Oryctolagus cuniculus: one gene and its partner. The protein of the gene in region 1 purifies or fractionates together with the protein of each later gene. This does not show direct contact. Links are inferred from orthologs where the notes say so. Each region holds a gene or a part of one and is shown in the gene's direction. Other genes may lie near its edges.

The links.
Region 2: the proteins of ETAA1 (region 1) and RPA2 purify together in Homo sapiens (affinity purification with western blotting; 4 studies listed by BioGRID, with this or other methods). This does not show direct contact. The link is inferred for Oryctolagus cuniculus from reciprocal best matches to the Homo sapiens genes ETAA1 and RPA2.

The regions. Positions count from the first base shown.
Region 1 is NC_091433.1:135,239,638-135,245,371, reverse strand, and holds the start of ETAA1 (ewing's tumor-associated antigen 1), read left to right. Parts: upstream 1-2,106; 5' UTR 2,107-2,249; coding exon 2,250-2,472; intron 2,473-3,892; coding exon 3,893-4,018; intron 4,019-4,282; coding exon 4,283-4,359; intron 4,360-5,734. UniProt on the Homo sapiens protein: Replication stress response protein that accumulates at DNA damage sites and promotes replication fork progression and integrity.
Region 2 is NC_091438.1:143,723,900-143,728,751, forward strand, and holds the start of RPA2 (replication protein A 32 kDa subunit), read left to right. Parts: upstream 1-1,222; 5' UTR 1,223-1,538; coding exon 1,539-1,548; exon of another isoform or gene 1,549-1,554; coding exon of another isoform or gene 1,555-1,558; intron 1,559-1,758; coding exon 1,759-1,865; intron 1,866-4,779; coding exon 4,780-4,852. UniProt on the Homo sapiens protein: As part of the heterotrimeric replication protein A complex (RPA/RP-A), binds and stabilizes single-stranded DNA intermediates that form during DNA replication or upon DNA stress.

The DNA.
Region 1 (5,734 bases):
GGCCTGGCCAGCCTGAAGCCAAGAGCCAGGAACTCCAACTGTCTCCCAAGTGGGTGACAGGAACTTAACTACTTAGGCCATTATCTACTGCCTCTTAGGCACATTAGTAGGAAACTGGATAGGAAATGCAAGGTAACCAGGACTTGAAGGATGCTCTCCAATATGGGATGCAGGCATCCTGAGTGGCAGCTGAACCTGCTGTGCCACAACATAGTTCTTTACACTTGTAAATCCTATCTAAGGGCCCTTCCTTACACATCTTATAAATATCTTCTCTCAATCTGTGCCTTTGCTATCACTCTACTTAATGATGTCTTTGGATAGGCAGAAGTTCTCAAGTTATCAGTATAATGTAGTCAAATTTATAATTATTTCCTTTTTGTTTATTGACAATTTTATATATTTAAAATTCATTTTCTGTCAGGAGAATAATTTACATCAGCTTATAAAATATTTTCTTTTATAAGTGTTTATAATTAATGTGCACTTGATTTGGGAATACAGTTTGAAGTAGGGATTACAATTCTTTATTTCTCCATGTGAACATCAAATGATCCAAGCATAATTTATTTTTTATATGAGAATGTTCCTTTTTGTAAGTATATTTGTTTGTTTACTTATTTACTTATTTATTTGAAAGGCAGAATGACTGTATGTTTGCATATCAATATGTCAGAGAGAGAGAAAAAGAGAGATCTTCCATTTGATAGTTCACTCCTCAAGTGCCCACATCACCTAGGACTCTAGGACTCGAGCAATCCAAAGCCAGGAGCCACAAACTTCATCTGGGTCTTCTACTGCGTAGAAAGGACCCAAGTACTTAGACCATCATCTGCTGCCTTCCATATTGTACAATAATAGGAAGCTGGATAAGGTGAGGAGGTGGAACTCAATCCCAGGCACTCTGATATGGCATGTAGCCATCCTTTTAGAAGGCTTAACCCAATGTGCCACATCATTTGCCCAAGCACTATTTATTTTCAAAACCCCTTTTGCCATTGCTCAGGAGGGTTATCTTTCTCTTAAAGCAAATATCCATTAATGTGGAAGTATGTTTTAGGACCATCTGTTCTTTCATGTATTTGTATATTGTTTTATCATAACACTGCCTTAACTTTACATAATGTCTTGATATTTACTTCATTATTCTTCAAGAGACCTTCAAGAGATTCTGAGATATTTTTTGGCCCTTTGCATCTCCATATACATTTTAGAATAAATCTGTCACATTAGACACATACACACAAATGTCCTTGCTGGAGACTTTGAACAAATTTGTACTGAATCTGTACATCAAGTTGGGAAGAATTGACATTGGAATATAAATCACGTTTCTTTAAAAAATTAGTTTCATATTTGTTACTAATCCATTGAAACACAGTTATCTTTGAATACTGATTGAGTTCCCAGCAAGTCTGTTTATTTATTAACAATTTTTCATCAGCAGATGTTGCTGTGCAGCAGGTTAAGTCAGCACTTGGGATGCCTGCATCCCCAGTGTGAGGTCCTGGCATTGAGTCCCCCCCACGTCTTCCAATCCATCATCCTTTTAAATAAACACTTTGGGAGGCAGTCTTGATGGCTCAAGTACTTGGGTCCCTGCCATCCCTATGGGAGATCCAGAAATTGTTCTTGACTGCTTGACTCCTGGCTTAGGCCTGGTCCAGCCCTGGCTGTTGTGGACATTTGGGGGAATGAACCAGGAAATGGAAGACTGATCTCTCTCTCACTCTGCCTTTCAAATCCATAAATCTTTCACTATTTTCCTAGGTTTTTTTCTTAATTTTCCCATGCACCTTATAATAGTTATGTAAAGTATATAAAATTTCTTCCTAATCTATACCTTATACTTCCTCTTCTTGAGAAATACTAAAACCCACAGTAATCTGAATCTAATTCATATGAAATTATAGTTGTAAATTCAATAAACAGTTGTTAGCGAATTAAACCTTCTTCCCATCATACAAACTCTCACTCTCAGCTAGCCGGGCTGGACCACCGCTCAGCCAATCACTTCCAACCCGGAGGAGTCTGAACCCAGACCCCGCCTCCGAAGCAAGCTCCGGGCTTGGCTGAGAAAGCTCCACCCCTCGTCCGGATGCAGCCAATCAGCGGCCGCCTCTTACGCGCGCCCCACCGGCCAAAATGGCGGCGGCCTTTGGCGGGGATTCCGGTTTGTAAGGGCCGTTGTTTTACTCTTCCCGTGACAAAATGTGAAAGAAGTGACTGGTGGAGGGGGGTCGCAAGTCATGAGTCGACGAAGGAAATATGGGGACAGTCCTGCCCCGAAGAACACGCCGCTCAAAACAGCGGCGGCTGAGGACTGCGGCTCGGTGGTCGAACCCAGGAGGAGGCGGCTGAAGTCGGCCCGCGGCTCCCGGTCCCGCGTGGCTGGAGAGGGCCCTGGCCCACCAGTGCGGCAGCGAGAGCAGCGTCCAGCAGCCGCTGGGTGCAGTAAAAGTACCCCCAAGGGTGAGACGTCGGCAGTGCGCCTCGCCTGGGCCGCGGCGCTGAGTCCCACAGCCCCGCTTGTCACCGGCAAACTGGGGGTGGGGGTGGCTCTGGCACTGCGTGTTCTCTGGGCTTCTCCCCTGCGAGCCCCAGAAGAACCCTGTCTCTCTCCTCCACGGCTTTTCCCCCCGAGGCTGAGCACCGCCCAGTTAGGGCTGGCCACCCCCTCGTCCCCGCCACGGGAGTGTGTGGTGGGGTTTACCTGTTCGGGGGCGGACGGCTAATTACTAGGCTGCTCTTCCAGTTACCAGCTGTGGCGGAGCTGGAGAAACGCGATAGGGCTGTTACGCTCAGCTTATTCGTAGGGGAATTATTTCTCTTAAACTTGTGTGTCCTAATTCGCTTCAGAGAGGGAGTCACACAGGGGGCTGGTCTCTTCAAAGCCTTGGCCTGCGTCTCCTCGTTGGGAATAAACCGGAAGTGCCTGTGGGTAAAATTACCTCAGAGTGGGAACCCCCGGAGGGCTCCTTTCAACCTGATTACTTTGGGGTGTCCTATCTAAAATGATTTCTAGTAAATGTTATAAACTGGAACTCATACAAAAGCCTTTTGCTATAGTGTGTTTTTAAAATAGAAGTATCATTACTTTTATTTACTCCCATTAAAGTAACGAAAACGAATCTTTGTTGAAATTTAAATGATTATAGGTGAAACTTCCAGTGTTTGAAATGATTAATGTAGGTTGGGAAGAGTTAATGAAAGAAGGCTACACAGTTTCTGTTGAGATATTTTTCTGATATTTTAAAATATCTACAAATTGCAGGTGGTTCCACAATGCTTGGAGCACGCCAATAAATGGAGTGGTTTTGTTATACAGTATTATTCATTCATAAAGGTACTAGGTTATCTAAAGATATTTACCATTTACAAAGTCAGATTTGCTTTTCTTTTCTTTTCTTTTTCTTTTTTTTTTTTTTTTTAGAGAGAGATTTATTTATTTGAAAGGCAGAGTTAGAGCAAGAGATCAATCTTCCATCCACTGGTTCGCTCTTCAAAGGGCCACAATGGCTGCAGCTAATCCAGACAGAAGCCAGGAGCCAGGAGTTTATCCAGGCTTTCCCTGTGGGTGCAGGGCCCCAAGCACTTGGGCCATTCTTAGCTGCTTTCCCAGGTGCATTAACTTAGAAGTGAAACAACTGTGACTGGAGCCAGCTCCCAAATGAGGTGCTGGTGTTGTAGGTAGTAGCTCAACACAGGCCCCCAAATTTGATTTTGAAAGAGACATTTCAATTGTAGTTAAAATAATGCAGTTGTTTCTGGGAGACAGGTTTACATTATACCATAAGGGAGTCTAAGCAACTTTTTGACTTTGGGGTATATTGAAGTACAGGAGTGGTGCTTTAAAATGCAACAATTGTTATTTTAATCATATTTTATATAGAAAGATATGAGACACCAACAAGAATGCTGAAAATGGACTTGTCTTCTACATTCAGTTCTCCTAATGATCCAGATGGACAGAATGATATCTTTTGGGATCAGAATTCTCCAATGACAAAACAGTTAGGTAATTTGTCATTAACATTTTTTATGTGCATCAGTATTTGATAAATGATTAGGAGGTAACTAGATTTTCAATCAAGTAATGTCAGGAACTTTTGAATTGCGATGGTTTTGAGAATGATATATGATTTTATCTCTGTTTATGTGATGTCAGAAAGCATAGTCACACAAACTATGCTAATAAAAATCATTTTCTGGAAAGTAGTAGCTATTTTTAAATGTGTTTTTTATTTGTTTAAAATGTATAGAAATGTTTTTGTTTCTTCAGGTAAAGGAAGAAAAAAACAGATTTACACCACAGATAGTGATGAGATTTCACATATTGTTAATCGAATTGCTCCTCAGGTAAATATTACTAATTCTGTAGTTTATTTTATAACAGTGAAAAGTACCACCAAATCCTCTAATTTGTTTATATGAAAAATGTTGTTTTTTTTTTTACATTTTCTTTTCCAAAAACAGTACGGCAAAGATGACTTTCACCTTTTCTGTTTCTGAAATGCATGTTTTGAGTAAAGGAACATAATATAAGTTGATAGTAGCAGTATTTCCTCAGTAATCACAGTAAGAACTGAGGATAGATTCTAGAACCCCTACAGATGCCAAATACGAAAGATGCTCAAGTTCCTTATATAAAATGGCATAGAGTGTGCATATAACTTAGGTACATTCCTCTAGGTACTTTTAAATCTCTACATTTCTTGTAACCTAATACTAAGGCAAGTGTTATGTACATAGTTGTTATACTGTCTTGTTTAGGGGGAAAATGGTAAAGAAAAATGTTTGTACATGTTCAGTACAAAAAACAGTTGTTTCTCCTTCAGATATTTTCAGTCTGTGATTGGCTGAATCTGTGGCTCTGGACTCATGGAGGGCTGACCATTTTTATAAGTATAAGTTTAAATTTATTGATTTTTGGCTAGAATTTGATTTTTTTGGTCATAAATGTATTCATATGTTGTATCATTTTTAAGCTACTAAAATAATAAGACATTTAATACAAATTTAAACTTTTACGACTTCTTTTGTGATTGGTATTTGTTTACTATCTATAGTACAGCTTTTCTTATTAAAACTGATCTTACCACATACTGATATGTAAGATCCTTCGGATTAGCGCGGTGCACCGGCCACATGGCACCGGCCGCAGTGGCCATTGGGAGGTGAACCAACGGAAAAAGAAGACCTTTCTCTCTGTCTCTCTCTCACTGTCCACTCTGCCTATCAAAAAAAAAAAAAAAAAATCACTGAAGCAGCACTGGTTTTAGATATAGTGTTTTTTAAGCTTCTTATGCTGTGTGACTATAGATGAGTTACATAAACTCTCACATCTTCAGTTTGTTTAGCCATAAACCAGAAGTATTACTTATTGTCTTCATTGGATCATGTAAGTTAAATTAAATAGATTATTTATAAACTGTATAGCAATATAAATATAAGGTTATTTTAAGAGTGTTCATTATGATGGCTAAATTATTTGCTGTAATACAACTATCATCAAGTTTTTTTTAACTTTAATTTCAGTCGTACTGCTTAAGTGGAATAGAAATAAGTTTTTAAATCAGTTATTCAACACATAGCAATCTAGTAACTCTAATAGCATTTATCCTTTTAGACCTCTAATTATTACTAAGAAATATGAACCCAACAGGTGAAACTGCTCATAGCTGCTTTACTTTCTCCTTTCTTTATTTTTCTTATTCAACAACTCCTAAATCTA
Region 2 (4,852 bases), on another chromosome or scaffold:
TCTGTCTCTCTCACTGTCCACTCTGCCTGTCAAAAATAAAATAAAATAAAACAAAATAAAATAAAATAATAAAAAAGAAAGATTTCTGTGAGATCCTGGTGGAAAGAAGGGGCCATCAAAGAAGGAGGTACCCTTCTCTATAGGGAAGAGAGAACTTCCACTTTGATTATGGCCGTCTAAATAATGTCGGAGTTTGTGACCTGAAAAGGCTTCCATAGCCTTGGCAGCTCATACAAGAGCCTCGGGTGATCACTGACTTCATAAATAAGAGTGTCAATTGTTAAATCAACAAGAGTCACTGTGCACTTGCCCCCCATGTAGGACCTCTATCCTTAATGTGTTGTACTATGAGAATTAATGGTAAAACTAGTCTTCAAACAGTACTTTATCTTTGTGTGTCTGTGTGGGTGCAAACTGTTGATCTTCTGTATATAAAGATAATTAAAAATGAATCTTAATGAAGAATGGGATGGGAGAGGGAGTAGGTGGTGGGACAGGAGTGGGGCTGGGAGGGTGGGTATGGGGGGATGAACCACTATAATCCAAAAGCTGTACCTATGAAATTCATATTTCTTAAATAAAAGCTTTCCAAAAAAAAAAAAAAAAAAAGGCGGCATCAAAGGTAGAAGGGTGCCGCTTCCTTATATAGGGGAGAATCAGGACCAAGGAGTGGCATTACAGAAAGATAATTAATTATACGAGGAAAAAATGAGCAACCACACGAGGTGCCGGGTTAGGACTGCGAGGGCACAGCTAGGCGTGCAGGAGTTAGTTTAAAGCGTCGTCCCATACGTGGTGACTTGGCAGGAGTTTGGCGGGAACTGGAGGGCACCGAACAAAGGAAGTGACGGAAGGAGGAGCGAGCTTGACGGAAGTGAGACAAACTCTTGGATAAGAAAGTATCTTAAGTTTTATTTTATCTTTTGATATGCAGAAAGCAAGAGAAACAGACACAGAAAGAGCAGCTGCCTGCCACGGTCAGGAGGCCAAAAATGTAATGCCGGTCTCCCAGGTGAGCGGCAGGTGCCCAGTTAAGTAACAGGCCCCGCCCCTCCTGGTGCGCGCAGGAAGCCAGACTCAGGCGCGGAGGCGGGATTCCACGCCAGAAGCACTCTGATTTGCCATGTGGGCATTCCAACCGCCTTCTTAACCGCTAATCCAAACGCCGGCTCCAATTGGTTGTCTCCCTGAGCTATTGTCCTATCAGCATCCCGCAGATCCAGGCTTGCGCTTGCGCGCCTCCAATTCTACCCATAACAAAGATGGCCGTAGGGGCTTCCGGCGCGAGTTGGGCCGTAGTGCGCGTTTTCCGAGGCCTGGCCTGAGACGATGGGAGAAAGCGTAAGGTCCGTGGGTGTTGATTGGCTGAAGCGAGAAGCGTGCTGGAAGGTGACTGGCTTCGTCGTTCGCGGGAAGAAGTTTGTGGCGCCAGAGTAAAGTAGACACCGCGCTGCCGCCGCAACTCGGTTCTGAGGTGCTCTGCGAGCCCGTTCGACTGGAACTTCCTGGTCCTCTGTTCCGAAGGCTTCGAGACCAAGATGTGGAATAGTAACGATGGGTGACGCGGCGGAGGGGGACAGTCGCAGGATTCGCGGGACGGCGCGCCTGGGGCCCAGGCGAGCGGGAGGGGGAGGGGCGGGCGCCGGAGGTGGGCGCCGTCGGGGGTCGGGGGTCGGGGGTCCTGGGGGCTCGGCCAGCGGCAGGTGCCGGGGGCTGGGCCGGCGGCGTGGGGCTCACGCCCCTGCTGTTCTCTGCCAGGTTCCTACGAGACCTTCAGCAGCTCCAGCTACGGGGGAACCGGGGGCTACACGCAGTCGCCGGGCGGCTTCGGGTCGCCCACGCCCTCTCAGGCCGAAAAGAAATCGGTAGGTTGAAAGGGGCTTGTGTTGTCCTGTCCTGTCCCGAAGCGCTAGCCGATCCCTGGGAGGCGACGGAGCGGTGTTACGCGGGATCTGATTAGGGAGTTACTCCCCGTGGCTGTTAAGTTTTAGGGGCACGAACGCTCGGAACCTTCCTGGGGGTCGGTTTGGCATGTCGTCGGCGTCTTGCAGTCGCTTTCCGTAAACATTCTCGCTTGGGATTAATATCCCGTTATTAAGCGGATATTATTTTTTTTTAAGATTTATTTATTTGAAAGTCAGAGTTACACAGAGAAAGAGACGCAGAGAGAGAGAGAGGGGTCTTCCATCCGCTGGTTCACTCCCCAATTGCCCGCAACGGCCGGAGCTGCGTCGAACTGGAGCCAGGAACCTCCTCAGGGTCTCACATGGGTGCAGGGGCCCAAGGACCTGGACCATCTTCCACTGCTTTCCCAGGCTACAGCAGAGGGCTGGATCGGAAGTGGAGCTGCCGGGAATCGAACCGGTGGCCATATGGGATGGCGGCACAAATCCTATACCACAGTGCTGACCCCTTAAGCGAATATTATTAAAAAGAACACGAAGGTGGCCGGCGCCGCGGCTCACTAGGCTAATCCTCCGCCTAGCGGCGCCGGCACACCGGGTTCTAGTCCCGGTTGGGGCGCCGGATTCTGTCCCGGTTGCCCCTCTTCCAGGCCAGCTCTCTGCTGTGGCCAGGGAGTGCAGTGGAGGATGGCCCAGGTGCTTGGGCCCTGCACCCCATGGGAGACCAGGAAAAGCACCTGGCTCCTGGCTCCTGCCATCGGATCAGCGCGGTGCGCCGGCCGCAGCGCGCCAGCCGCGGCGGCCATTGGAGGGTGAACCAACGGCAAAGGAAGACCTTTCTCTCTGTCTCTCTCTCTCACTGTCCACTCTGCCTGTCAAAAAAAAAAAAAAAAAAAAAAAAAAAAACCACGAAGGGCAGGTGGTGTGGCACTGCCTGAGATGCCTGCGTCCCATATCGGAGTGCAAGTTCTAGCCAGCTCCTCCGCTTCTGATCAGCTTCCTGCTGATACATGCTGGGAGGCAGCAGATGCTAGATAGCCCAAGAGCTTAGGGTGCTGCCACCCAGGTGGGGACACAGATGGAGTTCCTGGCTCCTGGCTTCGGCCTGGCCCAGCCCTGGCTATTGACACCAGTTGGGTGATGGCTGAGGCCCAGATACTTAGGCCATCTTCCACTGCCTTCCCACGCCTTCCCAGGCACTTCAGGAGGGAGCCGTATTCAAAGTGGAGGAGCCGGGGCTGAGCCGTGACTGGTAGCGGATGCTGCACCGCAACACCCCCCCTAGAACTCTTGCTCCTCAGTGGTGTTTGTGGTTACTGCGCATGTGCCCTCAGGGACCGTGGGGGTGCACCTTGCATCCAGCCTCTAGTGCTCATTCCTTATTCACTGTTTCTCTCAGTGTCATAATGCTTCAGAGGCCAGCCCTGACGTTCCTTCTTCTTGAAATCGGCAATACAGTTTTCTGAGATGCCATGTAGCACATGTCACACCCTAGTGCATCAGGTTTGGGGGCCGGCCGTGGCATAAAAGGTTAAGCTTCCGCCTGCGGCATCTGCCTCCCATATGGGCACTGGTTCGAGTCTGGGTGCTGCACTTCCTAGCCAGCTCCCTGCTGTGGCCTGGGAAAGCAGTAGAAGGGCCCAAGTACCTGGGTCCCTGCAACCACATGGGAGACTGGAAGAAGCTCCTGGCTCCTGGCTTTGGATCAGCCTTGCTCTGCCATTGTGGTCATTTGGGGAGTGAACCAGCTGATGGAAAACCTCTTTCTCTGTCTCCCTCTCTGTAATTCTGCTTTTCAAATAAATAATGCTAAAAAAAGAAAAGATGAGGTTTATGTTTGGATTTGTACCTCCCTTGGTTGGTGTGTTGAAGGCAAATCCTTTCCCACCTGCTTCATCTTTGTCACCCTGTCGTTCCCTTGGCAGTGGTAGACAAAAATGAGGGTTTACACTGTTGTCAGGTTGCTCTAGGGTGTGACTCGTGTGTCCTCACTAGACACTCTCACCCCACGCTGTCCCTCCTCACTGAGTGTCCACTGCGGCCAGGCTCCTAACCCATTAGCATCAGGGGCTCCTTCTGATGGCCACACATCTGCCCTGAAGGAAACTGTACTTCCAACTTTCTGTTAGGTTTTCATTATGAGATCTAGACCAGTTCCAAAGCGTTACTTCTGCCGGCCATTTCTCAAACCCTTCCCAGTGCCATCTCCTCAGTGACCGGCTGCCACCTCCAGCCTGCCTTCACCTCCAAGCTGGGGTTTCTGTTAAGGTCTGTTCTGGCAGCGGCTCTTCCGGATTGGGCGCCCCGCTGACCTCATTTTCTTGAGTCCTCCCTGTGGCTCCAACTTACCTGTTCCGTGGGAGCTTTGAGGTCAGAACAACCCAGGTTTGAATTCTCAGATGTGGCATTTGTGAGCTATGTGATCCCTGTGATTCAGTGTCCAGGGTGGACATTTGGGGTAGCAGTGATGATACTGCCTAGGGCGCCTGCATCCTGTCCTCGTGCCTGTGTGTAAGTCTTGACTCTACTTCTGTATCAGCTTCCTGCTAATGTGTACCCTGGAGGCAGCGGATGATGGCCCGGATGACTTGGGTCCCTACCACCAATGAGGGAAACCTGGTTCAAGGTCCTGGCTCCTGGCCTTGGCCCAGCCCAGCTCTGCTTATTGCAGGCATTTGGGGAGTGAGTCAGTGGACGGAAGATTCTTTCTCAAGTTCTTTATTTGCTTTCCAAATAAAATGAAAGTAAATTGTTTAAATTTTTTTAGAGAAAGTTTAATGTTCCAATTTATTTAATGTGTTTGGCAGGTGGCAGGTGTTAAATGCGTGGTCATCACTATACTTTTAGTTGAATTTATGCACACGTTGCTTTGCAGAGAGCCCGAGCCCAGCACATTGTGCCCTGTACCATATCCCAGCTGCTTTCTGCCACTCTGGCCGATGAAGTTT